Linked DNA regions of Ovis aries. The protein of the gene in region 1 interacts with the protein of each later gene in a pairwise test. Links are inferred from orthologs where the notes say so. Each region holds a gene or a part of one and is shown on either strand. Other genes may lie near its edges. The genes, in order: FAM168A, SF1, DAZAP2, OTUB2, UBE2V1 and SS18L1.

What was found.
Region 2: the proteins of FAM168A (region 1) and SF1 interact in binary tests that used the Homo sapiens proteins (3 or more experiments, as listed by UniProt). The two-hybrid records come from large-scale screens. The link is inferred for Ovis aries from reciprocal best matches to the Homo sapiens genes FAM168A and SF1.
Region 3: the proteins of FAM168A (region 1) and DAZAP2 interact in binary tests that used the Homo sapiens proteins (3 or more experiments, as listed by UniProt). The two-hybrid records come from large-scale screens. The link is inferred for Ovis aries from reciprocal best matches to the Homo sapiens genes FAM168A and DAZAP2.
Region 4: the proteins of FAM168A (region 1) and OTUB2 interact in binary tests that used the Homo sapiens proteins (3 or more experiments, as listed by UniProt). The two-hybrid records come from large-scale screens. The link is inferred for Ovis aries from reciprocal best matches to the Homo sapiens genes FAM168A and OTUB2.
Region 5: the proteins of FAM168A (region 1) and UBE2V1 interact in binary tests that used the Homo sapiens proteins (3 or more experiments, as listed by UniProt). The two-hybrid records come from large-scale screens. The link is inferred for Ovis aries from reciprocal best matches to the Homo sapiens genes FAM168A and UBE2V1.
Region 6: the proteins of FAM168A (region 1) and SS18L1 interact in binary tests that used the Homo sapiens proteins (3 or more experiments, as listed by UniProt). The two-hybrid records come from large-scale screens. The link is inferred for Ovis aries from reciprocal best matches to the Homo sapiens genes FAM168A and SS18L1.

What each region holds. Positions count from the first base shown.
Region 1 is NC_056068.1:51,811,447-51,816,379, reverse strand, and holds the start of FAM168A (protein FAM168A), read left to right. Parts: upstream 1-1,511; 5' UTR 1,512-1,717; intron 1,718-4,933.
Region 2 is NC_056074.1:39,464,200-39,469,426, reverse strand, and holds the start of SF1 (splicing factor 1), read left to right. Parts: upstream 1-2,129; 5' UTR 2,130-2,509; coding exon 2,510-2,918; intron 2,919-4,240; coding exon 4,241-4,369; intron 4,370-5,227. UniProt on the Homo sapiens protein: Necessary for the ATP-dependent first step of spliceosome assembly. Binds to the intron branch point sequence (BPS) 5'-UACUAAC-3' of the pre-mRNA. May act as transcription repressor.
Region 3 is NC_056056.1:134,988,987-134,993,898, reverse strand, and holds the start of DAZAP2 (DAZ-associated protein 2), read left to right. Parts: upstream 1-1,865; 5' UTR 1,866-1,947; coding exon 1,948-1,960; intron 1,961-2,962; coding exon 2,963-3,081; intron 3,082-3,495; coding exon 3,496-3,741; intron 3,742-4,657; coding exon 4,658-4,786; 3' UTR 4,787-4,912. UniProt on the Homo sapiens protein: In unstressed cells, promotes SIAH1-mediated polyubiquitination and degradation of the serine/threonine-protein kinase HIPK2, probably by acting as a loading factor that potentiates complex formation between HIPK2 and ubiquitin ligase SIAH1.
Region 4 is NC_056071.1:56,420,034-56,425,037, forward strand, and holds the start of OTUB2 (ubiquitin thioesterase OTUB2), read left to right. Parts: upstream 1-1,876; 5' UTR 1,877-2,078; coding exon 2,079-2,081; intron 2,082-5,004. UniProt on the Homo sapiens protein: Hydrolase that can remove conjugated ubiquitin from proteins in vitro and may therefore play an important regulatory role at the level of protein turnover by preventing degradation.
Region 5 is NC_056066.1:78,157,138-78,162,085, reverse strand, and holds the start of UBE2V1 (ubiquitin-conjugating enzyme E2 variant 1), read left to right. Parts: upstream 1-1,746; 5' UTR 1,747-1,764; coding exon of another isoform or gene 1,765-1,786; 5' UTR 1,787-2,282; coding exon of another isoform or gene 2,283-2,310; intron 2,311-4,948. UniProt on the Homo sapiens protein: Has no ubiquitin ligase activity on its own. The UBE2V1-UBE2N heterodimer catalyzes the synthesis of non-canonical poly-ubiquitin chains that are linked through Lys-63.
Region 6 is NC_056066.1:54,727,056-54,731,482, reverse strand, and holds part of SS18L1 (calcium-responsive transactivator), read left to right. Parts: intron 1-86; coding exon 87-284; intron 285-1,048; coding exon 1,049-1,210; intron 1,211-1,393; coding exon 1,394-1,498; intron 1,499-2,289; coding exon 2,290-2,382; intron 2,383-4,427. UniProt on the Homo sapiens protein: Transcriptional activator which is required for calcium-dependent dendritic growth and branching in cortical neurons. Recruits CREB-binding protein (CREBBP) to nuclear bodies.

The DNA.
Region 1 (4,933 bases):
TTCTCCAATGCATGAAAGTGAAAAGTGAAAGTGAAGTCCCTCAGTTGTGCCCGACTCCTACCGACCCCATGGACTGCAGCCCACCAGGCCCCTCCATCCATGGGATTTTCCCGGCAAGATACTGGAGTGGGGTGTTATTGCCTTCTCCAATTCTTTTATGAATTTTAAGTGACCACCATTATTTGTTTTAATAGTGGAAATGTTGGGCTCCCAGAAAAACTAGATAATCCTCCTCTCCGAGCACCACTGAAGACAACAGAAAGCCATGAAAAGCTTTCAGGTAGCAAAAACAGATTGTTGCTAGATTTGAAAATTTTATTTTTTGAAAATAGTTTATAGCTTAAAAAGTTTGTACTGTTTTTAAACAATTCTGGCAGTGCGAAAATAAAAATTACTTTAAATCTGACACACTTTATTCCAAGGTTATTACAGATACTATTTTGGGCAACGTTTTTACTGAAATCGTTCTATGCTTATAGAATATTCTCAAGTTTCACATAAATTAGATCACTCTAAACATGTTCTATTATCATTTGAGAATAAATTGTGAATAGTTTTTGATGTCAAGAAATAGGCCCATATCATTATTTTAAACAGCTATTGTTTGTATATATAATTTAACCAGCTCCTAGTGATGGACACTTAACGTTTACCCCACTATAATCAACAACCTGCGATAACAACCTTGTCCATTCATCTTTTCCAAACTGATTATCTTTCTAAGGTAAATTCTTAAAAGTAACGGAGCTGGGTCAAGAAGTACCCTCTTTTTATATTCGGGCTCAAGCTGCCAAGTCGTCTAGTTTTGCAGGGAGACCAGAAGGAAGCTGCTGCATTAGTTCTGGTGCGAGACAGTGGTAAACGGTTATTTCGAAGAGTACAGACTCGCATGCAGGTGATCTTGCCCATCTAGGCCTGTACTCGGCTGGGTGGCATATTTCCTTCCCTTTCCCCTCTCTTTCACGTCTTTTTTTTAACATGGAGGAAGAACTGAGAACTGCATCTCCCAGCATTTCACGGGGACCACACTCCCTGGGAACTGTAGTACCAGGTCTGAGAAGGGTCCGGAAAGAGGGCGAGAGGCTGTGAGACATGCTGGGAAGTGTAGTCCAGCGGGAGGAGCTCTTAGGGCTGTGTGGAGGTGTGTGCGCGCGCGTAAAGAGGTTGGAGACGCCGCAAACATCGTCCCTTGAAGATGGGGCTGCTGGGTGACCTAACTTCCTTCCTGTGTGGTCTCTGAGTCTACAAAAGCTGCCCGCGGATGGTTGGCTTTACTCCATTGTCTGTGACCGAGCGGGGAGCGGTCCCTCCGCTTCGGGCGCGCGGTCAGAGGCGCAGGCGACGCGCCGGGCGGAGCGGGGCATGCCGGGAGTTGTGGTCCCGGCGAGCTGAGGCTGTGGGACGTGTCGCGGCGCTGCGCCGGCTCCTCCTTCCCCTCCCTTCTCAGCGGTCCCCCGCCCCTTCCCTCAGCCTCCTCCTCCCTCGCCCGCAGCCCAGCGTCCCCTGCCCCCACCCGTCGGGCTCCTCGGCGGCTACTGCAGAGGATTCAGAGCCGAGTCGCTGAGGAGGAGGCGGCTCCTGGTCCCTGCGCGCCATCCGCCACCTTACTGGACACGGGCGACGGAGCGAGAGCGTCGCCTCTGTAGCCTTCAGAGAAGACAAGGGCATCGCCGCCTCAGCTGCCGCCGCCGCCGTTTTCGCCTGCAGCGGCTCGCCGGTGAGGAGATACACCCCCACCCTTCCCCGCTCCGCTCTCGCTGAGCCTGGGCCGGTGGTACTGGGGAGAATGGGAATGGGGGCTGCGGACCCCCTCGCGGGTTGGGGGAAGGGGGTTAAGGTCGCGATGGAACGGCGGGCTGGCAAGGGAGACTTGTCCAGGCGCGGGCTGGGGGTGGGGTGAGGGTGGGACACGAGCAGGTTGCGGGGGGAGCGACGAAGCGAGGGGACTTTTAATGGAGACGACCTGGGACAGGAGCATGGGATTGTAGGGTTGGGATGGAATTTGGATGGTTTTGGGCGAAATGGATGGTGAAACTGGAGTGGGATGGCTTTTAATGGGGGAGGGGACTGAATGAGGGTGGTGGATTTGGGGTTGGCCTGGAGCAATTGACAGCTTGGGATCTGGGCCGGGTTGCGGGCTAAGGGGTTGATTTCAATAGAAAGTGCGACTGCAGAGTTGGATAGGACCCTGGGGGGTGGTTAATTCTGGAGTGTGGCGTGGACCTTCGTCAGGCTGACAGAGGAGGTAGGAGCTGGGGGTGAGGGGCTTGGCATGGGTTGAGACCTGAGCTTAAAGTGGGCGCTTGCCATCTGGGGTGGTGGAATTTGTTGAGACTTACGGAATAGCGTGGGTTAGGCCAGCAGAGGAGGTAGAATTTGGGGTTTTCCTGGGGAGTGCTTATGGAAGTTGTAATAGGAGCTGGTGGGGGTGGGACTTTCAATGAGGGGAGTGTGAGGGTGAGCTGGCAGGACGGGGTAAATTAGTAGAAGTTAGGCCCCAAATGGGCAAACAGGGATCGAAATTGGGGGTGGGGTGGGGTGGGAACACAGCGGGATGGCATTTAGAGTGATGTTAAAACTGCTGGTGGCTCCCTGTGTACAGGATGGAGGCGGAGGGCAGAGAAGATGCTTCCAGGCTGGACTCACCAAAAGAATAGTGGCAGGTGGTGAGCAAGGTTGGGGAAGGTATCTTGAAGAAGATGTCCCTTGGCCAAGGTGGCCGAGGCGGTTTGGGAGAAAGAATGTCTGAGATGAGCTAGGAGGACTGGAGAGGTGGTTGATGATAGTGAGGTGGCAGATGGGGCTAATTGAGGAGTGGGAAACCTGGGGCTATTGGTATGGAGTGGGCAGGGAGGATGGAGAGGGGTGGTAAGCAATATTGGGAGGAGGTTGATTGGATGATTTTGGAGAGGAAGGATTGGGATGGCCTCCAAGAGACAGGAGAGGGTTGGGAGTGGACTTAAATGGACAGCTTTGGAGGCTATGGTTGGGGGGCTTTGCAGGGGACAGAGAAGGTACATTAAAGACTGGTTTCTAGAGGACTTCTTAAGCTGTTAGTTTTTGTTTCATTTGTATTAGTATCATGTGGAAGTAAACCATCACAAAGGGTAAAGTTGAGTGGGGCTTCAGTTAAGGTAGAATTGAGGAGGGAAGGCATCTTCTATTATTCATGTATTTTAAAAAGAAAGTTGAGGGGAAAACCCACTGTCATAACTAAAGGTGAAGAAGATGAAACCGGAATGTGATAGATACCTTTCTGTTTGATGTCTCTGCCTTCTTTCTGCCCAAGGTGTGTTTTAAAAATTAGTCCTGAAATTTGGTGTTAAATAGATTTGATGAGCTTAAGTAGTTAAGGGAACATTCCTTGCTTGAGAACTGATGAATGAGACTGAAAAATATGAGGCTGAATTTATTTCCTAGTCAGGCAACGTGCATGTATTCAGAAAGAGCTTAGGCCTTTTTTTTCCCCCCTCTTAAAATTGATTGCTTGAAGACTCCATTTATTGGTGTCCTTGTTTGCAAGGCAATTAGGCCCATCATTGTATTGCAGGCTAATAATCCTGCACTACTGCTTGGCACTACCGCTTTATGTAAACATAAGACAGGAAATATGGAAATGTCATAAATATTCATTGGTGAGATGGTTTGCTGTTGATGGAGTTTTTCATTTGATTCTCTTTTGACATTACTTGATAAGATTTAAAATAATTGGATTGTATTTCTATAGATTGAATTTTCTTCCAAAGGAATTCAGGTGGTTAGAATTCTGTCAGATATAGATAAAAACATAAAATCATTTTTATTTTATTTATTAGGAGATACAAGCATATTGCATTAACTACAAAAATAATACATCCATTTATTCATCAGAAATTTTATTTAAAGCTTAATGATATGCTCATTCTTATGGCAGAATAGTGATGCTGGAAGGTAGAGAAGGATGTTAATGGAGGAAACATCTTTAGGGAAATAGTTTTCTGGACTTAATTGCATTAACTATGATATGTTAAACATGAAGTAGCTGTTGATTAGTGCTCAGACTGGGGAAAAAATGAGGAGAGATGTAAAGATAAAATTGGCACCAATGGGATCAAAATAAATCTAGTTTTTGGTTCCAGCTTCAGAGTTTAGCTCGTAAATAAACCATTTTCCTTGGCTTTCACAATTGAGCACATAAAAATACCCAATATAAAGAATCTTTCTTTGTCGTTCTGAAATGGGCAGAATGGTTGAAGGTTGGACTTAATCATTGGAATTGAAAATGTTTTGTTATGAGGAAGCTTTCTATGTTACAATGAAAATCAGGTTTGAGCAGTTACTGGTAATTTGATAAAAGTGTAATCTAACTAATGCAAGCGTTTCTCCTTGTAACTTTACTCTGGGGTCCAGCCATTGCATCTGCAGGCTTGATATAGAGGTGGGACATTTATATTAAAGCTATAGCTTTTGAGAACTCAAAATGGAAAATAATCACTTGGGAGAAATGTTTTGGTGGATTTTTTTTTTTTTATCATAACTGTGTTCACCTGTTCAGTAGAAATGTGTATAAAGTGTTTTAGTATCTTTACCTCATTTGATTCTCCCAATATTCTGGTAGCAAGAGGAGCAGTGGAGGTATTGTATACAGGTACATTGGTTGAATGAATAGCTTGTGAATTAAGAGGTTGAGAGTCTTGGTTTCAAATTCCCTTTCTACCACTTGATAGCTGAATAATTTTAGTAAAGTTATTAAAAACTTTTTGTACTTAGTGGTAATGTTTAAACAACATTGTGAATGTACTTACTGCCACTAAATTTTACGATTAAATATTATGATTAAATACAATTAAAAATGGTAAAAATTAAAAAAACTAACACTTCAGAAGGCTGTCTAGGGGAACAAATCAGATCATGTCCTGAAATAACTTTATGTCCTAAAAACATTGCACATATG
Region 2 (5,227 bases), on another chromosome or scaffold:
TGCTGCTTGGGGTCACAAACAGTCAGACACGACTAAGTGACTAAACTGAACTGAAATGGGATCACATCATACATTTTTTAAAAATACAAAAAATATTTTAAAAACATGCTGGTTCTTAAAATGTATTGGATAACTTCCAAGTACCTATTTCCCTCTTCAGCGTCTTCAGTGACTTGTGTATCCTCCGTGGCTTTCTCCATACTCATATAATCACACGCATAACACACGTATGGACTCTGTTTTACAAAAACAAGATCATGTAATAGCTATTTCTCTGCGTCTTTTCTTATTCAATAACAATACAGCAGGGAAGTCCCTCCTTGTCAAGGCTGCCTACTAATCCAGGTTATGGGTAATCTACTTCATTTAACCAATCACATATTGATGGTAGTTTTCTGTTTCCAGGTTTCTGCAGTTACAAACAAGACCGCAGAAAATGCAATAGAAGACTTTGAACACATTACATTAAGTAGTCACATGCCTTGCTTAGGGGCAGATTCCCAGGAGTGGGATCACCACATTGAACATGTTTTTTATTTTTCCCTGAAAGAGGTACAAATTTTTTTAAGCCACACCATGCAGGATTTTAGTTCCCCAACCAGTGCCCCCATGCATTGGGAGTGCAAAGTCTTACCCACTGGACTACCAAGGAAGTTTTGAGAGGTATAATTTTAATAGATAATAGAATGCTTTTCAAAAAAGCATTCAAAGTAGTAACTTAGCTTTTTTTTTTCCTGATTGTTGAAGACGTCTCATATCACTTTTAATTTGCATTCATTCTTAGGAGATTGGTACTTTTCATATTTTTGGCTATTTGGATCTGCTCTTCTCAGGCTTGTCTATTCAGTCTTTGCTCATTTTCTGTTGTTTTTCTCTTTTATTTTTTTAAGACTTATTTCCATATTACAGATATTAGCTCTTTATCATATGTATGGCAAGTATACTTGCCTAATGTATTACTGTTGACTTTTATCATAGTTTCCTTTGGTAACTAACTTTTGTTGTTTCCTGTCTTCATAAAGTCTCTACCCCTAGATGACTCCGACAATCTCCTAAATTGTACTGTGTCTGTTCTATTGTTTAAATTTAGGACTCTATAGGGCTCAGGGGTTAAAGCTCTGCCTGCAATGCGGGAGACCTGGGTTCGATCTCTGGGTCGGGAAGATCCCCTGGAGAAGGAAATGGCAACCCACTCCAGTACTCTTGCCTGGAGAATCCCACGGACAGAGGAGCTTGGTGGGCTACAGTCCACGGGGTCGCAAAGAGCCGGACACGACTGAGCGACTTCACTTCACTTTATACCATTTACTAGCTAAATCTTTTCCTTACTGAATTGAAATGCCATTTTTTTGGTTAGACTCTATCCTATTGTACTGTCTTTCCTACAACAATACCACATTGTTTCATTAGTGTGTCTTTTCTATTGTATTATTCGGAAAGGCAAGCTCCTCAACCTAGTTTACAAATTTCCCCACTATTTTCAGTTATTTTATTTGACTTAAAAGATGATCTAATCAATCTTAACTTCGCTGGGATTCTAATGAAAACGCACGGTATTTTTGATAACTTCATATTGCCTTCCACTTAAGATATGTGTACCTCCATGGGCTCGGTACCGTTTTTAATCCTTCTTCCTCCCACTTTTTATTTTTTTCAAAAACAGGAAGTCCTCGTTTACCTGTGTTGTCGACGGATCCGGTTTACCGGTCCGCGCCAGCCCCTCCCCCACCCCTCGGTTCCGGGTTACCATGGGACTCGAGGATTGACGTCACCAAGGGCTTCCGCGCCGGACCCGAGGGTCAACGCTGAAGCCAGGGACAGAGACACGGTTTTGCCCCATCTATGCATGCCCGCTCCTGTCCCGCTCCTCCCCGACCCCAATTCTTGTTCCGCCAAGGCTTTCCCGCCGCGACCTCTAGCTTAAACCCAGCGAAATTACTCCCCGGGGAAAAGGAGCAAAGGAAAAAAAAAAAAAAAAAGAACCAGCGACAGCCAATCCCAGGACATTACAACGCAATGGAGATTGATTGACTACACCAACCCAGCCAATGGGAGAGCTCTTGGCCCCATACGTCACAGAGTTTGCCCCACCCTATCCCTCCTTTCTGGACTCCGAGCTCCGTTCGCGCAGTAACAAATGAAGTGCGCGCTGCGACACCTCCCAGCTCTTCAGGCTCGGCCGCCATTTCCTCGCCTGGCCTAACGGTCCGGCCAATCCCAGCGCGCATCGAGAAAAGCTAAGGCTCCACCAATCGGAGGCCGCCGATTCCGACCCTTTGCCTCCGCTCGGCCCAATCCAGGCCCCGGCCCCGTCGCCCCCGATCCGCCCCCGCGGCGCTCTCTCTCCTCCCTCTTTGTGCGTCTCGCGCCGCCGCCGCCGCCCCGCCGCGTGAGAGAACGGGTTCCGCGCGCTCCGCGGCAGCGCAGTCGGGTCCCCTCCCCCCAGAAGATTCGCGAAGAAGAAGCCGCCGCCGAAAAGGAGCCGCCGGTGCCGGTCCCTGGGGGCGCCATGGCGACCGGAGCGAACGCTACGCCGCTGGGTAAGCTGGGCCCCCCAGGCCTCCCTCCCCTCCCTGGCCCCAAAGGGGGCTTCGAGCCGGGACCACCGACTGCCCCCGGGCCTGGGGCGGGGCTGCTGGTGTCCGGGCCGCTGCCGCCCCCGCCCGTGGGCTCGGTGGGGGCCCTGACCGCGGCCTTCCCCTTTGCGGCGCTACCGCCGCCGCCGCCGCCGCCGCCGCCGCCCCCCCCGCCTCCCCAGCAGCCGCCGCCGCCACCGCCCCCCTCCTCGGGCTCCTCGTACTCGCCGCCGCAGCCGCCCCCTCCGCCGCCGCTCTACCAGCGCGTGTCGCCACCACAGCCACCGCCACCCCAGCCGCCGCGTCAGGACCAGCAGCCGGGCCCGACCGGCGGCGGAGGAGGTGAGTCGGGCCGAGAGAGCGCGCGAGGCGCTGCGCGGATGGGCCCGGCCGGCTGAGGGCCGCGCGGCGGCGGCGACGGCGGCTGCACGCGGCAGGGGCGCGCGCGCGCACGGGGAGGCCCGGGCGGCGGAGCCACGGGGCGCGCGGCCTGGTTCTCGGGCCTCGAGTGCGCACGCGCCTCAGGGGTGGGGGCCCGGCGGGAGGAAGTTTGTTGCGCGCAGGCGCAGTTTGGCGGCCGGGCTTTGTGGCTGTCCTAAAAGCCGGGATTGGGGGGACCCCTTGTTGCTCTCTGCCCCTGGTGTTCAGGAGCGGGTGTGGATAGGGGATCGAGTGGGTGGTTGGGGTGCCTCATGTGCAAGTCCGGAGGGCGGAAAGGGTCGACTGATGACGTGGAGCGTCCTCTTCCTGGTTGTAGTGGAGTCCTAAAGGAAGAAAGTACCAAGAGAAGCTCCTTAAAACTTCTTTAATAAGACAGGGCTTTCACTTCAGAACCAGAATGGATGAAAGTCTTCAGGGGGTGTTTGGGTCCGATTTTTTTGTGGCCCTTTTTGGAGAAGGATGTTCCGTTCGTTTCCATATCTCACTGTATCTACCTAGGAAGTATGACACGCCTCCTCTTGAGGCTTTTCCGCTGGGTCTTGCTCCTGAGAAGGCGCCTTTGTGTATCAAACGCCAGGAAGTTTCTGCTTGTGTACTGGGGAAGAAAGATTTGGCTCTTGTTGTATAGCTTGTTCTTTGTTGAACTTGATACATTTTTTAGACCCTAAGTGTCCACCTGGCCAGGAAAATGCTGACCTTAGCCAAACCTCTGAGGAGAAAAGTGATTTTGCTGAAAAATCCAGGTTTTTCAGTTGATAACCATAAGTTTAGTTGCGTTTTGTCTCAGGTGACTGGTGGGGAGGTGGGAGGAGCCAGAAGTTAACAATATTGCTTTATACCCTTGAATATTCAGTCTGCTCTTATGTCCTGGGGCTGTTAAGAGGTTTATGGACACCATGTGGTATACTATTATCTCAATACTTTTTTATTTCACTACTTGAAACTTTATGCACTGAGATTTCTTGTTTACATATTTCACAACATTTCTGTGGACAAAAATCATAAATGTGCCATGTTAACTTTTCAGACCCAGGTCCCCTTCTAGTGGCCATGTCTTTTGACTTCCCAGGTTTGTCTTCCATTCTTTGCTGTTTCTTTTTAGGTCAAGTTCTCAGTTTCACGGTCTGCTGAGGTTGTGTGTAGTATAATAAGTATCCTAAACTGCTTGTTGGTAGTTACTCTGCTGGTTTATCTTTGCATCTGACGAACCTTATCTCTTTTAGACTTCCCCAGTAAGAAGCGGAAGAGGAGCCGCTGGAATCAAGACACAATGGAACAGAAGACGGTGATTCCAGGAATGCCTACAGTCATCCCCCCTGGACTTACTCGGGAACAAGAAAGAGCTTATATAGGTAAATACACGTTCTGCACTCAAATGCATTTTCAGATCGTTACTGAACATTTTATTTGTTGAAAGTTTGGGACTTTACAGTTTTCTCTTTGAGAGGAGCTATGGTCAGATGACTTTGATGTAATCCATAAGTTTTTGCTCTGTGAGTCCTGCATTTGTAGCTCCTTGTTTTGGTCTGTTGGTAACAGCAGTGTTCTCCATGAGTGCCAGAAGGGTAGAGGGGCCTGCTTAGGAATGAGAATAGTTCCCAGCCCAGCACCCCACCCCACCCTTTTCAGCTGCTGTTCATTACCAATTGATGAGGTGAGTGTTACATGCCTCTCTGGACTTGGCCCCAGTGGAGAACACTGCAGGTATTGTAAACCAAGTACCTTTTTCACAGCCTGGCCTTTCACCATAATTTCATATTCCTCCTTTCCCTAAAATGTGGTCTTTTATTTTTTTATAGGTACTTTGTGAAAGGGGAAAAAACTCAGTTTAATCAAAAAGTGGTTCTGAAAGTGTGTTTACCCCCTTTTACCATTTTGTTGAATTTAACCTTTCCTTCAGCATCTTTTCTGGTTTGGTCTTTGGAGAGCTGTCTTAAAATGAGGGCTCTTGTGTTTACTCCTAAGGAACTCTGCAGGGAAAGGGGTACTGCTTGGATCTGGAATAATGAGGTGGTTAGGATAAAAGATCTTAACTGTTGGGGAATTTTGAGAATTATGAATGTCCACAGTAGAAATGAAACTGACTTCAAAATTACCTTTTTTAAAAAAAATAAAAGGTTTTTAATGCAAGTTTTACATTTATTTGTGTACCTGTACAGCTGTCTCAAAAAAGTTTACTTGATACACATTTCCTACTAACCAAATAAACA
Region 3 (4,912 bases), on another chromosome or scaffold:
TCAAGAAGATTAGTCAGAAATACAAGAAAAGGTAAATATCAGAGGCTTTATCATACTAATAATACCAGCCTGAACCAAATAAATAATATGAATTTAAAGAAAGGGAAAAAACCTAAAAGAACTCCAAATACAGTCTTGGATATTGTGCTTTTAGGGCATTTTAGTTGTGATAGGCTGGAGAAGGCAATGGCACCCCACTCCAGTACTCTTGCCTGGAAAATCCCATGGACCGAGGAGCCTGGTGGGCTGCAGTCCATGGGGTCGCTAAGAGTCGGACACGACTGAGCGACCTCACTTTCACTTTTCACTTTCATGCAGTGGAGAAGGAAATGGCAACTCACTCCAGTGTTCTTGCCTGGAGAATCCCAGGGACGGGGGAGCCTGGTGGGCTGCCGTCTATGGGGTCGCACAGAGTCGGACACGACTGAAGCGACTTAGCAGCAGCAGCAGCAGCAGTTGTGATAGGCAGAGTAAAGGGATAAGAACAAAACAAAACCAAACCACTGATTTGGGAACCGGGGTGGGGGTGGGGACCAAGATAACACACCTGACTTTGTAACCTGTTCACTGTGTGACTTAGGGCAAATCTCTCATTTGAAAAACAGAAATGCTTAAACAAGCCCTGCCTGCCACACAGGGCTGTTGTGAAGATCTGTGATGACTCCATAAAATCATGCATATTAATGGTGTCCTGCAAACTGTAATTTGACACTGGAGAGAAAAACAGCGGACTGCTGATGAAGTGAGTACTGGTCTTTTCAGTGGTTTAAGTCATTCAACAGCAAATATGGATCAGGTTGCTAATGTTTACCGAGGGTTTTTCTTTTCAAAGCTTTCTTTTCAGATGCTTTTCTAATGTTCTTCCTACACTACAGAATGTAAACCATGAGAAAATAGCCTTGGGCTGTCTTGTTCAGCTCCATCTCTGTACCTGAACACAGCAAGCGTTCAGCAAATATCTTAAAGAATGGAAGCAATTGTTGCCTTAAAGGATGGCATCTTTGCTCTTAAGAACGATTAAGTTAGAAGAGAAGGGATACACAGAGAAAATACCTATCAGGTACCATACAGGTGTCTGTGACAGGTATCAAAGTAAGGGCCAGGGCATGGGTACTCCTTGGGTACCAAGAACATGCGTTTTAGTGCTAGCTGTTGCAGCGGGGTGGGGCGGGGCACAGCACAGCATACCCTTTCTGTCGGTGAGAAAGCGACACAGAAATAAAACACCGACAGCCTATCGGTAGAATAGAAAGGCAGTGAAGACTTGAGTGAGGGGAACGAGAGATAGATCAAGGGTTGCGAAGCATCTCAGGCAGTTAGGTAAGATTGTAGAAATCTATGTCCCGTGTGTGTGTGTGTGTGTGTGTGTGTGTGTGTGTGTAGGAATCTATGTCCCGTGTGTGTGTGTGTGTGTGTGTTAGTTTCCGGTTCGGTCCATGGGAAATGGCAACCCACTCCAGTATTCTTGCCTGGAGAATCTCATGGACAGAGTCGCACAGAGTCGGACTCGACCGATGAGACTTAGCAAGCATGCATGCCCCTTGTAGAAAGGCTGTCAAGGTGAGGTGACCTTGAGGTGCTGAACGTAGGTGGAAAAAGGTTCCAGAGAATAGTTTAATGTTACTGCCTCCGAGCGTTCAAGAGAGAGAAGATCCCGTTTTGAGACAATACCTGTATTTGGTTTTCCTTCAGCCGAGGGACAAGGGTAGGGGTTGGAGGACCAGACCCGGTGGGCGGGGCCTACGCGAGCGGACGGGATCACGCGGGCCCTCCCTCCTGCAACCGGCGGCCGGGCGAAGGGGCGGGGTTTCCGGTGGCAGCGGCACTCGGGCGTCGGGTGACGCTAGGCGGACAGATCGTCACGTGACACGGAAGTGACTACGAACAGGAAGAGGACGAAAAAAATAACCGTCCGCGACGCCGAGCCGAGCCGGACCCGCAGCCACCATGAACAGCAAAGGCAAGGATAGGGGGTGGCTGAGGCCGCCGGGGGGACTAGTGCTGGCCCGGAACGAGCGGGCCCGGAGCCCAGGGTCACCGAACGCCAGGCCTGGGGCGAGGTGCGCCGCGCTCCTGAGCCAGCTGCAGTGCCCGGGGCTGCGCCAGACACCTTCGTCATTCCCGAACTACGGCCGTTCGCTCCCTCACGGCCCTTTCTCCCTTAAACTCTGTGGCGCAGTTTGGAGCTGCGGACTCGGGTTGGGGGGGGGCTGTTGGGTGGGTGGGTTGGGGGGGTGGGGAGAAGGTTTGTCGTGATGGGCATCTGTAGGAGCAAATGGGGAGCTGGAGGCGAGATTTGGGTAGGCCAATGGAGAACTGGCAGAGGCGGGGCGCCGCGCTCCGGAACCACAGGCAGGCCTCCGGGCTTAACTAGTAAAGTGCCGCTCTGGTGGGCGGGCCAGTCGGGCCCGAAGGGGGTCTCTTCCCCCTTACCCTCGCTGGCGGCCAGAAAGTCTCCCGGTTTCTGTGTCAGAACATTCCCTTCAGCCCCCTCCACGATCTCAGCATTCACTTCCACCACTCACTCTTTTCATTTGGAAGTCGACCTTGAGTAGGAACCTGTGAGGTCGATGACCACAACCACCGTTACTCACGAGGTCTTGGTCAGTTACAACCAGACCTTTGGAGACCACGCAGGACAGGGAGACAGGACACACCGTTGAAATACCGGCTAGAGGGGATGCCCAGAACTGCCCTGCGTTCTGAGAGGATCTTGGGCCCAGCTAGACTTTCCCCTTACAGCAGTCGGCTACTGGATGTCCAGTTGGAATCCAGCTTCTTCAGCTTTAAGGGTGCAACGAGAATGCTTATTTTCTTGGCTCCAGGAATCAGGCCCTCTAGGGCAGTCTGTTTGGAAATCTCTTTTTGCTTATCCCAGCTAGATTAGCTACCCAATATGCCCTGCTTTGTTTTGGTGACTGTATGGTAGACAACATGCTTTTTTTCCCCCCTTGTCTTCCAGGTCAATATCCAACGCAGCCAACTTACCCTGTGCAGCCTCCTGGGAACCCTGTGTACCCTCAGACCTTGCATCTTCCTCAGGCTCCACCCTATACTGATGCTCCACCTGCCTACTCAGAGGTGCTTCCAGTTAACTTAATAATGGAATACTCTTGGATCATGTTTTCGGTCCTTGGCCAAGTCTGGCTCCACACATTTATTTACTTTCCACAAACAGAAGAGAGTGCTCACATGAATCATCTTAAAACGTGACATAGTTCAGCCATTTCTTTTGGGTTTGAGAAGGCATTATCTGATTGTTTTATGTTATTTGGCACTGGCTGAAGTTAAGAAGATGAGTTTGCATTCCCTGAGCCTAACATTAGCTATAGCAGGAAGTGATCCAGGAGAATATTGAGTGGCAGTGGAAAGGCAACTTGTGTAACTCAAAGAGTGTAATCTGCACAAGGAGAATTAAGACTTGACTCATTAAATTGAGATCTGAAATAGGAATGTCATGAAGTAACTTATTGCCTTCTCTTCTGCCTCTTCTAGCTCTATCGTCCGAGCTTTGTGCACCCGGGGGCTGCCACCGTCCCCACCATGTCAGCTGCATTTCCTGGCGCCTCACTGTATCTTCCCATGGCCCAGTCTGTGGCTGTTGGACCTTTAGGTTCCACAATCCCCATGGCTTATTATCCAGTTGGTCCCATCTATCCACCTGGTTCAACAGTGCTGGTGGAAGGAGGGTATGATACAGGGGCCAGATTTGGAGCTGGCGCTACTGCCGGAAACATTCCTGTGAGTATGACTTGGTCACAAAAAAGCTCGACCCTTGTGTATTTTAACTTTCTGAAATGACTGGTCATCCTTTCATCATCCCTGGGTAATAGTTGCTGGTATTGGTGTAATAATCACTGACGTCCAGTAGTCAGGCAGAAAGCACTCAAAGGGGCAGGAGAACCGTGGCCAGTCAGTAACATCTGGCGTACTCACTGATGTTAGAATTTATCAGATTCCTTTGTTTTCCTGTCTTAGGAGTCCTGCCTGCTGCTTTTCCAGTTCACTTTGATACTAGTTTAGTAACACTCCTCATTCATTCCATAAGCATTTATTTATATGTGCCATCAGCATGGCATCGTATTAGGAACCATGACGATTAAAAAAACAATGCATAATCCCTATTAAATTGCATTTAGAGAGATACTAGGGATTTTAGCAATGTCTCTTGATTAGTTCCCCTATGTATGGGAATTAGAGCCCATATGGTCCTTGCTAGGACCATCTACTCAATAACCATAGGCTAGGGATGAAGTGAAAATGCTGTCATCAGGTAGAGCCTTCAGATTATCCAGGGCCATTTGAAAACTGTCAGGCCCTGTGATATAAGTCCCTGGACCTGGTACCCGCTCCGTTTTGGGATGTGAATAGGAGTGATTTTCTGCACTGAAAATGCCAAGTCTGGACTTCCCACACTTAGAAGGTATCCATAGGCTTTATTTTGGATCCAGAACCCTTTAAATGAGTGGGTTTCCTGTTTATATCTTTGGCCTTACAAAGAATGTAGACCTGCTGGACTCAGATTGGTGGCCCAGATAGCTCTTTGAGATGCCGCTGGTTAGCACACTGCCATCTTCCTGATTGGTCCTTTTTCACCTTTGTCCACTTCCCTCCCATAGCTGCCCTCTGCCCAATCAACCTTGTCTTTTCCTTTCAGCCTCCTCCCCCTGGATGCCCTCCCAATGCTGCTCAGCTGGCAGTCATGCAGGGAGCCAATGTCCTCGTAACTCAGCGGAAGGGAAACTTCTTCATGGGTGGCTCAGATGGTGGCTACACCATCTGGTGAAGAACCAAGGCCATCTCTATGCCGGGAAAGACATCACATACCTTCAGCACTTCTCACAATGTAACTGCTTTAGTCATATTAACCTGAAGTTGCAGTTTAGACACATGTTGTTGGGGTGTCTTTCTG
Region 4 (5,004 bases), on another chromosome or scaffold:
CCCTGGACGTCACCTGAGGCTACACAGCCGTGAGCGGCAGGGTCTAGAGCCAGCCTGGCCCCAGGGTTACCTGTGCTCCTTCCACAGGCCAATGCCAGCTTGGTTTGGAGCTGCTGTGGTCTAGGGAGAGGAGGAGATGGGACAAGCGCTCAGGGCTTATAATGAAGCCCTTAGAAGCCCTCCTTCTGGAAGCCCCAAGTGACTCTGATGTGGGCTTGACAAGGGTTAAGCCTGAGACCAGGCCCCAGGCAGTGCCCTCACAGACCCTTCCCTGCTCTTCTCAGCAGTCTCCCCGCCCACACCCCCAGGAGCCACACCTAGCTCAATCATTCCTCCACCAAGTGAAGCCTGCCTAACACAGTCTCCACTGAGCACTGGATATGGAGTCAGAATCCGGGCTTCATCCCAGCTGAGCATTTTCCTAGATGAGCCCTGCACTGAGCCTGTCACCTCTCTGGCTTTTCCTTAGCTGTAAAAAAAAACAAACAAAAACAACAACAACAAAAAAAAAAAACAGAGCAGAAACTCTACATGCAAGAAAAGGCATGGCGGAGCACACAGCCCCTGAAAGCACATGCATTGCTCCTCAGAACAAATTCAAACCCAGCTCTGGAGTCAGGCTGACCAGGATTGAATCCTTCCATGTGCTGGGTAAATTTGGGCAAGTAGCTTAATTTCTCTATGCCTTAGTTTCCTCATCTGTAAAACAGGGATAATAGAACCTACCACCATAGACCAGTTGTGAGGAAATTATGATAATATAGGTTGAGAGTTTAGGATGGTGCTTGATACATAGTAAGTGCTCAAAGAAAAATAGCTTTTATTGTTATTTCTCCTTGAGTCTTGATTGATCCCAGACTCCCCACTGAGTAAGTGATATGCACTTGGAAGATGTAGATGCTGTCTACTTGAGAGCCTGGCCTGGTACCAAGGGCAGATGTGTAAGAGTCTGGTGGGGGAATTAATACACAGTCTAGGAAGTATTAATACTTATAAAAGAGGTACATACAATTCATTGGAGCCCCTTGCCCCCGCCCACAAGGCACTGTCTTCCAGCAGTCAAGGACTAGTGATTGAATCTCTGAATGATACATATTCGTTCTGAATGATACATATTCGTCTGTTTGATGTTCAGCAATAATGAGCTTGTATACAGGGTGAGTCAACCAAGCCTGGTTCGTGGTCTGTGCCTCATATATAGCCATACAATTCCAGAGGCACAGAATCAACGATCGTAGAAATTCAGTCATTCAACAAACATTAATTGGGTGGCCTGGCAACCTACTGATTCATGAGTTTGGAAGTGCATAAAATATTATTTAGAAGCTACACGTGCAGGCTGGTAACTTAATATTATTGAACTCATGTTCCCTAAGCACCTGTCCTCTGATCTTGAGCAAACTATACTTATATGACCTTATTATGAATTAACCAGGGCCAACAAAGAATCTGGACTGCCAATGCAGGAGATCTGGGTTCGATCCCTGGGTCAGGAAGATCCCCTGGAGAAGGGGATGGCAACCCACTCCAGTATTCTTGCCTGGAGAATCCCATGGACAGAGCAGCCTGGCGGGCTACAGTCCATAGAGTCGCAAAGAGTCGGACACGACTGAAGTGACTTAGCACATAGCACAGACAATCTTTCAGAAGACTTCAATTTGCAGTTTTGGTCAAAAGTCCTTCAGCCTTCACAAACGAAGACTTGTCTTTCTGGGTTGGGCTCCTTTGCCAGTAAAGAGGTTTCTGTGTCTTTAAAAGGAGGCGGTACCCTGTCAAATGGACCCTAAAGCATAGGCTGAAGGCGCGTGAAGTCCCACCCACTTTCTGTGACGTCCTGTGGCCCAGCTTCTGATTGCCCGCTTCAGACGTCAATCGCGGGGCGTGTGTCTTGCTGGGACACAGTGGAGGTCTAACCTCTGGTTTGCGGAGCGGTCGGGTGTATTCTCCGCTCGTCCTCACGCCCTCGAGGCCCCCGCCGCCCGACCCAACGGCGGAGCCAGCCAGTGGCTCCCGCGGCGCCCTCCCGCACCGGATCGCTCCTCGCTGGGGCGGGACCTGGCCCGACGGCTCCGGTCACTATGGTCAGTGGTCTAAGGGGAAAGCGGGTGGGAAGGGGGCGCGGTAGGCGGGGTCGCCCCCCGGGCGCATGTGCACTCGCGGGACGGGGGATTCGGCGCGAGGCTCAGCCCTCAGTGTCAAATCCGCTGCGTTCGGGTCCCCCAGGAATACCGGGGTGTCCCGGTCCTTTCTTGGAAGGCTCCCGTGGACGGTCAGCAACGAGAACCCAACCCAGCGCCCAGGATCCCCGCCCCCGGCGCGTTCGTCCCTGGTTTCCCATGTGCCGCTCCAACAGCGGGGACAGGGAGGCTCCAGGGCTAAGGGTCCCCTCCTTTTCGTTACTAGCCCTCCCCCGCCAGTTCGCAGCTCCTTGCCGCACCCACCCGAGGGCTCAGCCATTAGAGACCTCCCCATTCCCAAGCCCCACGAGTGGACCTGGGGTTGCCACGGGTAGCCCGACATCCTCTCTGTCCTGCTTGTCAACAGAAGGTATTTGCAGTTAGGACCCACGTGGAGAGACTGTCTCAAGTTGTGAGGCACGTGACTTAGGGGCCAGAAATGGCCCCCGAGACCCTCTGAGCCAGGCCAAACTCAGGGCTTGCGCAGCCGGGGACCCTGAGGCCCAGAGAGGGAGGGGCTGGGACTGATCACGGTGGACTTGGATTCCCAGGCCAGTGCTCTTTGTATTTCTGTGTGTGTGTGTTAGTTGCTCAGTGGTGTCCGACTCCTTGCAACTCCATGGACTGCAGCACGCCAAGCTCCTCTGTTCGTGGAATTCTCCCCACAAGAATACTGGAATGGGTTGCCATTCCCTTCTTCAGGGGATCTTCCCTACCCAGGGATCGAATCTGGGTCTCCAGCATTTCAGGCAGATTCTTTACCATCTGAGCCACCAGGAATTATTCCTTTGTATCACTACATCAGTCCATCTTGGGGGTGAGGGGAGACAGGGGCACAGGCAATCTGCAGAGGACTCGGTGTGATGAATGCCTAAAACTGATCAACTCTGACCCCCCTGCTCCAGGGAGCCTGGAACGCATAAGGAGTGGTGGCTTGGCCTGTGGTCACAGCCCTGAGGGGTGATCTCACCTCCACCCCCTGGAAACCCGAGAGGCGTTGGTTGGTCGCTTCCCCTCCCCAGCACTATTTTGCACACCTGTATAATGGGCTGCTGTGAGGATCATGTGAGGTGATGCACATGGAGCGCTTGGTTCAGATAATTGGCCGTGGCTTTCCTTCTGACAACAAAATCCTGGAAATGGGTGTGCACAGGGGCCTGGTTCTTAGAGCCTCCTCCCTCCTAGGTCTGAGTAAGGAAATGGGTCACTGACCACTGAGGGCTGCCGCTGGCTTGGGGCACAGGTCAGAGCCTGGTCACGGTCTGACACGTTCTGAGTGTGGCGTGGGTGGCCCGGCCGGTCCTGAACAAACCAGCTGGGTGTGGCTGAGGGCTTCTGGAGCGCCTGGAAACACCCACTTCCTGTTTCCAGGCAGGACCTAAGGGTTGACCTGGCTCTTCTGCTCCTGGAAGGGCACGGAAGTGTTTCTGCATCGCCCACAAGGGAGTGGCCAGGGCTGGGGTAATAATGGGTTTAGCCACCCTGGAGCCGAGGCTGGCTTGCCTTCCAGTCACCACTGGGTAGCTGAGAGCATGGCGGGGTGGTGGGGCTGGGCCCTGATCTTCTGTCCTTCGTGGTGCACAGTGAGGCCTCTGACTCCAGCCTCCCATCTGCCCTGGACTCAGGAGAACAGAAGTTAGAGGGCAGATAGAGTCAGAGCACCAGCCCGCGCCCTGTGACAGGCAGCGTAGGTGCCTTGGAGAAGAATGAAGTGGTTAACTCACCAAACAAGACGTCTGTCTGGGAATCATGGGGAGGGGGTGGGGCAGAGGCAGTGCAGGGTGTGTTCTCGTCTGTTCATTCAGCATTTAGTGAGCACCTACTGTTTGCCAGGCACCGTGCTGGGCCCACTGGTGATGTTTTTGAGTCTGTGTGGTATGCATGATGGTGAGTGTGTGTGTGGTGGGCAGAGGAGAATGCCTTTGGAACATATAGTGTTTTCTTTCTGTATCCATTTCAAAGTCACTGAGCTTGGGAAAGGTCCCAGGTAGAAGACATAGAACCCTTGGGAAGGCAGTGGCCTGGGTGAGGACAAGGTTTGGGGGCTGCCACTGATGGAGGTTGCAGGTAGTGAGGGGCCTCATGCTCACTCAAAGGGCATTTAACATTCAGTGAAGAGTGAGGGTCAGATGTGAACAGCAAACCCACAGGGCCCTTCTGTGCTTTGTTCTTTGGTTTTTCAAACAAGCCCCCAGTAGGGTCCCTAGTCCAGCCCCACGCTGGGCTGGGCATTGATGAGAAAGACAAGGGCCTGCCCTCTTTTAGGAACTCACTGCATGAGACAAGACAGAACTGGACACAAGCAATTCCTGAACTATCAGTCATGACCTAAGAAGCTTAAGGGCTTGGGGAGCACAGCAGGAACCCATGCACTCTAAGGGAGCAGTGAGTGTCAAGGAAGGCTTCACAAAGGGGTCTTTTGAATGGGTTATTAAAGGATGTGTAGGAGTTTTCAGGAAGCATTTGGGGAATTGTGTGTTCCAGTCAGGGTGGGACAGGCCTAGAAATATGTGCTTACAGGCCTGGAAACATGGTTAAGAGTGGGATATTCTGGGAATGGTGAGCAGTCTGTATGGAGAGAGGAGAGATGAATCTAGAAAAACTGGGAGGGGGGTGGTCAGAATGTACTGTAAAGGGCTTCACATGCTGTGCCATGGGGTTTGGGTTTTAGTCTGCAAATGTGGTGGTGGAGGGGACCATAATGTATTTTTGACAAATAAGAGATGGTTGATTTGGATGGTCTCTCTGGCAGTGGAGCAGACAGAGGGCCAAAAGAGGCCAGGCTGGAGTCAGAGACCAGCTTATCCATCTATTCCGTCATCCACTC
Region 5 (4,948 bases), on another chromosome or scaffold:
AACTCGAACCCAGAACATTTCACTCCAGAGATGAGTCCACTTTAGGAACCCAAATGCTTCCCATCTGTTATTTAACATTGTACAGTGACTGAAAGAAAGTCCAGGGCAAATATTTTGTGTGCCCTTCAAGGTAAATTTGAATCACTTGATACAGGGTATAATGTCAAGATGACTGCATGTGACCAGTAGTGGGAAGGGGCTTCCCTGGTGGCTCAGACAGTAAAGAGTCTTCCCACAATGTGGGAGATCTGGATTCCATCCCTGGGTCAGGAAGATCTCCTGGAGAAAGAAATAGCAACCCATCCCCTGGGTGGGGAAGATCCCCTGGAGAAGGGGATGGCTGTCCACTCCAATATTCTCTCCTGGAGAATTCCATGGACAGAGGAGCCTGGCGGGCTACCATCAGACACGATTGAGCAACTGGGCAGACTCAGGCTGTCATAAGGAGAATGGAACAGGGGGGCAAGAATGGAGGCTGCTGGGATCCTCCACGTGGGAGACAAGGGGAGCCTAGACGTGGATGGGGTAGAGAGATGCTTAGGAGGCACTGCTGTCAGAACCAGGTGACTTGGGTGCAGGTGTCCAGCTTCCTTGTTCCTTTGTACTGAAAGTTCTGGTCCTTTCTCTGCCAGTGTGTAGCTGTGCCACCATGAAGCAAACCTTTCCTCTCTTCCAGCCTCAGTCTTTACGTCCACATAAGGGTTTCTCAGACCACTTATGCTAGAGGAGTCAACTTCTTGAATTTAACATTTGCCAATATATGTTTCCTGGGCCTTTGCACATGTCACTCCCACCATCTGCTTCCCATCGTTCAGGTGTCTGTTGAAATGTGACTTCCATAAGAGGCCTGACCACTCCTCCCTTGGTTTATTTCCTATCCTATTATAGTTAGGTTCTTCCCTATTTGTTTACTTTCTTCCTGCCTCCAACTAAAATGTAAGCCCATGAGAGCAGGAGCTTGCTTCTTCAGGGATGTATATCCATCCACAGCACCTATGAAAGTGTCTGGCACATAGTAGATGCTTAGTAAATATTTGAGTGAATTAGTGAATGTTTTCACTGCCATATATATATATATGCCCCGGAATCCTTTAACCGCCCTGCTTCAAGCCCCTTCTGACCTGGAAGCATTGATCTGGGAAGCAAGACATATGGCCTGGGTTCAAATTCTGACTCAATTACTTAAGGGCTGAGTTTATATAAATATCTTAACCCCTCTCGCCCTCATTTTTCACTTTAACCCAAACCTCACAGAGGAAAAAGCCCAGGGCAAGATAAGTGCTTTTAAACAATATTATAAATTTGCATCTATTTGCTTATTTTTATTGAAGTATAGTTAACTTACAATATGGTGTTAGTTTCAGGTGTACAGCATAGTGATTCAGGTTTTGGGGTTTTGGTGGGTTGTTTATTTTTTCTTCAGATTACATTGTATTATAGATTATGACAACAGGCGCTCTTTTAAAGCTTTCTTGTCTTTTAATCACACCCTTCCCAGTCTGATCACCCTTGCCTCACCAAGCACCTCAATACCTGCCTCGCACCAGAGTCTGGAGGGCCTTGCAGGTTGCTGGGCCCTCACGCACGCAAATGTTTCCTCGCTCTAAAAGGGCAGGGGAAAAAAAACCTTCCATGCAACGGGTCGAGCGGCCCGCGGAGCAGGCGTCAGAGAGGCGTCCGCGCCTGCGCACGCGCCTGCGCAGAAAAGCCCGGGGACGGTGGGGGGTGAAGAAGGGGCCGGCCTTTGAGCGACAGCGACGCAAGATGGCAGCCACCACGGGCTCGGGTGAGCGGGGGCGCCGGGCCCAGCCGGCCGAGGGGGCATGGGCTTGGGCCGGGGGCCGGAGACCCGCAGAGGCCCCTGCTGCGGGGCCAGGGCCTCTGCAGGGCCGCTGTCCGCTCGGCCCCGCGGCGGCGACGCGGGCGGCCTGAGCGGGGAGGAGGAGCAGGCGGTGGCCGGAAGCACGGGCGGGGGCCTGAGGGGCCTGTGGGCGGCGCGGTGAGGCCGAGGCTCCCCCGGGCGGCGTGAGGGCCCTGCGGAGAGGAAGGGCCCGGCCCTGCGGCGCTGCAGAACGGCCGGAGCGGGCGAGGGGGAACCCAGGGCCACTCCGGAGGAGTCGGGGGCTGCCGGCTCCTTAGACGAGATCGGGGGGTCCCCTAGAGGACAAGGAGGCGCCCCTAAAGAGATGGAAGTCCTTTATTGGATGCTGGGTGTCTGAGCGGGGGGAGGAGCCTTGGGGATGTCCGTTTGGCCCTGACTTCAGAGAAGCCCCTGAGGAAGAATGAGGGAAGGAAACGGGATCCTGAGGGGTGAGTGATAGGATGCCCCGTTGTTTAAGGGCATGATCCGTGTAAGTTTAGGGGATTGGGTTAACTGAGAAAATTTTTACGCTGATTAGAAAGGGGGCGTCTTGGGATGGCAGCTTTTGCGGTGGGGGAGCTGGGATTAAGGGCATCTCCACAGGATACGTGAGAAGGGGAGAGGGATTTCTCAGATTCCAGAGGGATTTGGTTGGAGCAGCTGAAAGTGCAATGGCCCCATCATTACCAGGCCCCTATTTGAGGAGATAGATGTTAGGTTTTAGGAGGCGAGCTCTGAGTAGGGCGGTCAGTGGAAGCTTGCGATCCTGGGTGAAGAACAGATGAGTTGGGAGCTCTGGAGGTGTGTGTTAGGGGAAGGGTCGACTGAGGGAAGCCCCATGCAGTGAGTGAGACTGGAAATCAGGTTTCAGAGATGTTCTTCTTTGAGAAGAAACATCTCTTTTATTTGGGTGAGGGACACATACCTTAGGAGTGTCTCATATGGAGACTGTCTCTCTCCCACTCTTTCAGGTATTGGTAACATATGGGGGTTCAGGTCAGAAGTTCCCCAATGGTTGGATGGTCATGGGGAGAGGAATAAATGAAATGGGAACTGGAGAAGAAAGTCGAGATGCAAGAGGGATTGAGGGGGCTGCACTCTGGGCCAGGGGGAGTTCTTCCAGACTCTGGTAGGTAAAGGGAAGCAGCATTTATTTTGCATTCCTTGCTCTGTACTCCCCTAAGATGCTCCAGAGGGTCAAGTCCTAAAGGAATCTGTTTCAGAGTGAACATTCACAGCTGGGGAGCAGGGGATGGACTCAGGTGACCTTCTGGAGGAGACAGGGTGATGATTGGGGAAGGTCCCCCAGAGGGGCCAGTGAGGCAAGAGAGTCAGATTCTGGAAGTGCAGGATTTGGGAGTGACGGAGTGTCTCCCTTTTGGCGAGCAGGGTGTCCCCTGAGGTGTCTGGCAGTGAAATTGGCCAAAGAAGTCCTCCCAAATGAGGTGACCGTGGGCGGCCTCTGAGGGGGAGAACAAACAGGACCACCGGGCTGGGCACTGGAATCCTCCAGCTGTATAAGGCCACAGCAGCACTGGTAGGAAAGGTTGGTGACCAGAAGTGAGCAGGGTGAGGGAGTCTGTCTTCCCCGCATGTGACTCCTCTAGTGTCCTGAGGGGCCGTCTTTGTCTGGTTGTTAGATGGGCATGGAAGGAGTTGGACATCGGGGGTCTGCCCGGAGTCACCTACCACAAGCTGTCTTTTACACTGAAAGCCATGGGGTCTTCCTGAAGGATAGAGGAAACCACACCTCCCTTTCCTGGATTTGGATTCAGTTGGAACAGTGCTGAGTCAATTCATTTACCAAGAGACTGCGACGGACATTCTCAGAAGAGGGGCTGAGTCAGGCCAGACTGCCATGAGGCTCCTCTCAGCGGAGTAACACCCGGCCAGGTTGCTGTGGACCGGGGAGGCTGTTCACACGGCTGTGCCCATAGCCGCCGTCCTTACGGTGGTATTGCCGCTCAGCTCCTTGGCAGTGACTGGAGATTGGCTATCTATAATCCGGTTTAACAGCTACTTAATTCTAACTTCTTGAGATCCTCCCAGTTGAAGAGTGCTTCCTAAATGCTGTGGTCATCAGATAAAACATCGTCAGCTGCTGTCTAGTGGCATACAAGAGCACTTGGCATGGTTTAGGTAACAGGGAACAGGTTTTGAGATGCCCTGGAACTGGACTTCCGAGAACTCCTTTGTCTGTGCGTTCAACAGATATTTGTTAAGAATTTACTGTGCCCCTTTATGGAGAGTGAACAGGGTGGACATAACCCGTGTCCTCAAAGAGCTTCTAATCTAGTCAAGGAGAAGCCCATTAAAGGAATACATAATTAAGATTTCAGATAGCAGTAAACGCTGTGAAGGAAGTTGTGTGATATGGTGCTGTCCGGAGAGGTGGTCAGGGAAGGCTTCTCCAAGAGTAGGTATTTGGACTCAAGCAGATGATGGAAGGAGCTGGCGGTGTGTGTCACAGGCCGGAGTTGGGGGACAGTGAGTGGAATGGCCTTGTGACAGGAATCTGCTTAGCAGATTGAAAGAACCGAAGACTTCAGTGTGTAAGGGAGGCTTGTTAAAGAGATAGGTTAGAGAGAGAGGGCTTTGGATTTTATTCAGTGTGAAAGGAAGCCATTGAACAAGCACCTGGTCTGAAGTAGGCATTCAGTAAATATTTGGTGAGTGAATGAATGAGGGTCTTAAAAAGAGAAGAATGGCAGGATCTGACCTCTCCTCCCAGGCAGTAAGAGGAGTGTAGAGCGCTGAAGTGGGAAGCAGAAAGATTGTATTGCTATGACTTGGGGCAGGCTGCTGGGTTAGACTGAAACAAGTGCACAGGCCCCTCTGCTTTCTAACCCTGAGAAGTCCTTCAGGTGTGGTCAGGGGCCCCGAGGCCTTCCGGAGGCAGCTTTAGAACAAGCCTCTTGATGAGTCTGGGCCCCTGGGTCCCAGGAAACAGCTGTGAAGCCTCCGAGTTCCTGTGAGGGCTGAGCTCCATTTTCCGTGGCCACTGCTTTCAGCGCTTGGTGACAGCACCTTTCTGCCTCTTTTGCTTCTGCAGTGTGTGATTTCCGCATAGATCTTAGAGGGTGGAAC
Region 6 (4,427 bases), on another chromosome or scaffold:
CCTGCACAGTCACCTGAAGGAAACTCGCGGGGGGTGTCTTTCAGAGCCGGTCTTCTGTGGGTTTCACACCCCCTCACCCCCCACAGGTCCAAACCACGTGTCCCTGCAGCAGACGGCACAGAGCACGCTGCCCACCACCTCCATGAGTATGTCGGGCAGTGGCCACGGCTCGGGGCCCGGCTACAGCCACTCGGGCCCTGCCTCGCAGAGTGTACCCCTGCAGAGCCAGGGCGCCATCAGCAACTACGTGTCCCGGGCCAACATCAACATGCAGTCCAACCCAGGTACCGCCCCGCTCGGCCCATGCCCCTTCCTCTGGCAGCTCCCTGAGGGGCGGGGCTGGTGGGTACAGGCCCGGTGGGTAGGGGGCTTGGCTGCTCCTGCGGCAGCTTCAGGGGAGGCTCTGAAGGGTGGTGGCATGCCCCCCCCACCCTGTGCTGGGAGGACAGGGAAGGGCTCCCACAGGCAGAAGGCATGCAGGGCATGCTGAGGGGTGGCAGGAGCCCTGCCTGACAGCTTGGGGCCTTGAGCACTCAGGAAGCGCTGGGTCCAAACTGGGGTGCCCAGTGAGTTTCAAAGCTTCGAGCAGAAACAGGTGTGAAATTACTCCTTGCTTCTCGTTATGTTACTTACATACTGAGAACAACCTGTCTGGGATATATTGAGTCAAATAAAATGTTGCTGAAATAGATTTTACCTGTTTCTTTTCATTCCGTGATGTGGCTCACATACCTTGTGCTGGACAGCATTGCCTGGAGGGTCCCGAGCAGGGTGGAAGGAAAGGACAGGCAGGCAGGGCCCCCCAGGGCCCTTTGAGGCTACCGTCTGGGGAGGGCAGGGCAACAGACTTCTCTGGGACCAGTGGGTGGGGGCCGCGTTTCACATTTTATGAGTCACCCAAAGGCACTTTGGCAGGAAGGGTGATGTGGCCCCATTGTGGGGGCCTTGTGGAAGCCGCAGCCTGGGGTGAGGGTGCAGGCTGGGCTGGGGGTGGGGGAGGCACCACCTGGGAACTGCTTGGGTTACTGGGGTCTGTCGTGTTTCCCAGTGTCCATGATGCACCAGCAGGCAGCCTCGTCTCACTACAGCGCGGCCCAGGGCGGAAGCCAGCACTACCAGGGCCAGTCCATGGCCATGATGGGCCAGAGCGGGCAGGGGGGCGGCGTGATGGGGCAGCGGCCCATGGCGCCCTACCGGCCCTCCCAGCAAGGTGAGGCCGCCCTTGGTACAGGGAACCAGTGCGGGGAGGGCTGCTGTGGGAAGCCCGGCTCCTGGGGGCTGGACATGCGGCAGGGCCCCGGGTCCCCTGGGTGGGCCTGTGGGGTGTCCTCTGAGTGGGCCCGTCTGGGAGGTTCTGGGGCTCGGGGAGGTGACATCAGCACTGTCCCCCCAGGTTCGTCCCAGCAGTACTTGGGCCAGGAGGAGTACTACGGCGGTGAGCAGTACGGCCACGGCCAGGCTGCTTCGGAGCCCATGAGCCAGCAGTACTACCCCGATGGTGAGGCCCACTTCCTTGGCATCTGTCCGCACTCCCCAGTTGTTCCCAGTTCAGTCCCAGCGCCCCCGCCAGCAAAGCACCCAGAGTCCCCTTTGAGGGTGGGGGCTGGTCTCTGCTGAGAGAAGCTTCTGGCACTGGGCTCCCTGGGGCTTGGGGGCACAGTCCTCTGAATGGATGGACACAAATATCCGAAGGATGGATATGAGCTCGTGGTGAAGTGCCTTCAGGAAGGTGATGAACCCGAGCCAACTGTATGTCTCGTAACATTCACCTCCCAGCTGCTCAGTTACACCTTCTGCAGGTTATTTTCCTTTTCCGTGTCACCGTTCCGGCATCTTTAAAATCAGGATTTGTGGAGATGTCTTAAAGTGACTGCAGAGGACAGGTGGGATTTGGGGAGGACCCCATGCAGGGATGTGTGACCAGGTCAGGCAGTGGGTGGTGGGGAGGTGGCCAAGACCAGAGGGGTCACACACTCCAATGGGAGTCGGCGACGGGATGGTGACCACATAGCAACCTTAAGAGCTAACGGACACGTGTGTGTCGGACATGGGGCACCAAGTATGCTCTGTAAACCTTGGCTTGTTGGCCCCAGGAGCAGGTAGCCATCTGCACTTTAAAGGAACCTTGGCTGCCAGACAGCAGGAAGAGCCCCCACGGGCTCAATCTAGGACACGGGACCCACATCCAGGGGCACGCCATCCCGACCTGATGGCTGAGTCCATGTGGTCTTCCCCGGGTCTGGGAAGCCAGGACTTCTGCTGACTGCTCGGCGCCCCATTTCCTTGCAGGACATGGCGACTACGCCTACCAGCCGGCATCCTACACAGAGCAGAGCTACGACCGGTCGTTTGAGGACTCCACGCAGCACTACTACGAGGGCGGTAAGGCAGCTGGCTGTGAGCTCCAGGCCTAATGTGCACAGGGCCTGCAGAAATGGGGCGGGTGCCGATAAAGCCGCCAAGGTGATGGCACCAAGCTGGCCCTGGAAAGGACTTCCTGCTGCCCCCAGGAAACCCTGAGAGGAGAGGGGCCACTAATAAGCTCATGGGTGATGGCATCCAGGGCCCCCAGTCTGCTGGTCAGGAGTGGGGACAATGTCAGGGCTGCCAGTGGCCCAGGAAAGAAAAGACAGATGATACGAGTGGAACGAGTGACTAGAAAATGTGACTTTTGAGGTGACCTGTTTTTAATTGTAAAAACACATAGTATTACCATTTTAGCCATTTTAAGTGCACAATCCAGCGGCACTAAGCACGTGCGCGTTGTACCGTCACAGCGTCGTCCCCAGAGCCTTCGTCTTCCTGAACTGACCATCTGTCCCCAGTAAACACTACCTCCGTTTCCCCACCCTTTCCAGGAAAGCTGGGCTCAGCCTCCTCCTCAGGAAGAGCCCCCACGCTGCTCACCAGGGAGGGCTTGTCGAAGTCTCAAGTGCAGTTTGTACCCTCGCTTTGGGCTACAACCACTCACCCTCCATAATTGATGAGGACTTTGCTAAAACATCCAGTGACTTCTTTTAGGGCAGGTGTGGCAGACAGCATGGTTTCCTCCTGCATCTGGAAATGTTTTGTTCCACCTGGTTAGTGACCCTCGCACAGGACCACACACGGTACTGGCCACGCCTCAGTGGGTGGCCTGCCTGGTCTTTTTTAGGTTGGGAGGTGGGGGTGTTTCTTTCAGAGGAGTGGTCAGTGCCCTGAGAAAGGCAGGGGTGTTGGGTGGGGGTGATTAGGGGTGGCTTGAAGCTGACATAAAGAACCTTCCCATAATTAGCTTTGTCCCCCAAGGGAATGAGGAACCTCAAGAGACACAGGTGGCTGGTCCTGGTATTGTTCACAGGAGACAGGCACCCTGCAGGTTCCCTGGAGTGAGAGGGCCGAGAAGTGGTCCGGGGCACAGCAAACCCAGATGGGTGGGACAGGGTTGCTGTCGGGGCCACGGCAGAGCCCTCCATGGAAACCTTGACGTCCCACTGGCATTTTCTCTCCATGAGGTTTGCAGGAGCAGAGGCTGGACACAGCCAGTGTCCACTGTGGCATGTCCAGGGCACTGCTGTGGGAGGTCCCCTGGGTCATACCAGGTGTGCAGCACCAGAGTATCTGGATGCTGCCTTCTGTGTAAAACAATGAGTGCTAAGAGCACACCCACCCACCATAAACAGACGAGAAATACTGGAGACAGCGATCGAAGTGACTCGGGGGTGATAAGGCCAGGCCGGGCGGGTGGACTGGGTTTGCTTTTAGATTTCAAATCGCATCAATGCATCTGTCCATTTAGAAGTCAAACTTCGAAATAGTAAACATTATTGGCTGTTGTTGAAATTCAAAGTGCTAACCCTGTGGCTGTGCAGATCTGCCCCCGACCCCCAGTCCTCAGGTCGATTCTCAGTTTCTCCCGACGGCAGTGGTGACTGTGGGTGGGCATTCGGTGCCACTCAGGCCCCGAGGCTCCTCTGTGCTTGACGACAAGGTTTTATAGACAAGTCACCATCATGGGTTTGTTCCTTTGTTTTGTGGCCACATTCCTACCACATTTATTAACACCAGCCTCTTCTTTAACCAATGAGTGTTTCCTTTTTTCATGGCCACGTCATAGGCTGTCACAATATTCTTAAAGATAGAAACAAATGAAAAGGAGCAGAAAAACAAGGGAAGTGGTCGTCTCTGCCCCAGTGGTGGGAAAGCCCCGGGTTGTTCCAGGAAGGGCAGAATCTGGGCTCCCTGGCTCTGCTGCTCCCACAAGACCCTCTTGAGAACTCCTCAGGCATGTTCAGAGAGTCCTGCCTCTTGTTTCAGAGTTGTCCAAACCAGCCCATCTTCCCCTGGGGTTTGGCCCTGGATCAAGGGAAGGTTTTTCTGGGTGCATGAGAGCTGCGCTGCATTCTTACTCACTGCACACCTGCTGTGTCCAGGCCTCAGCAGCTGCT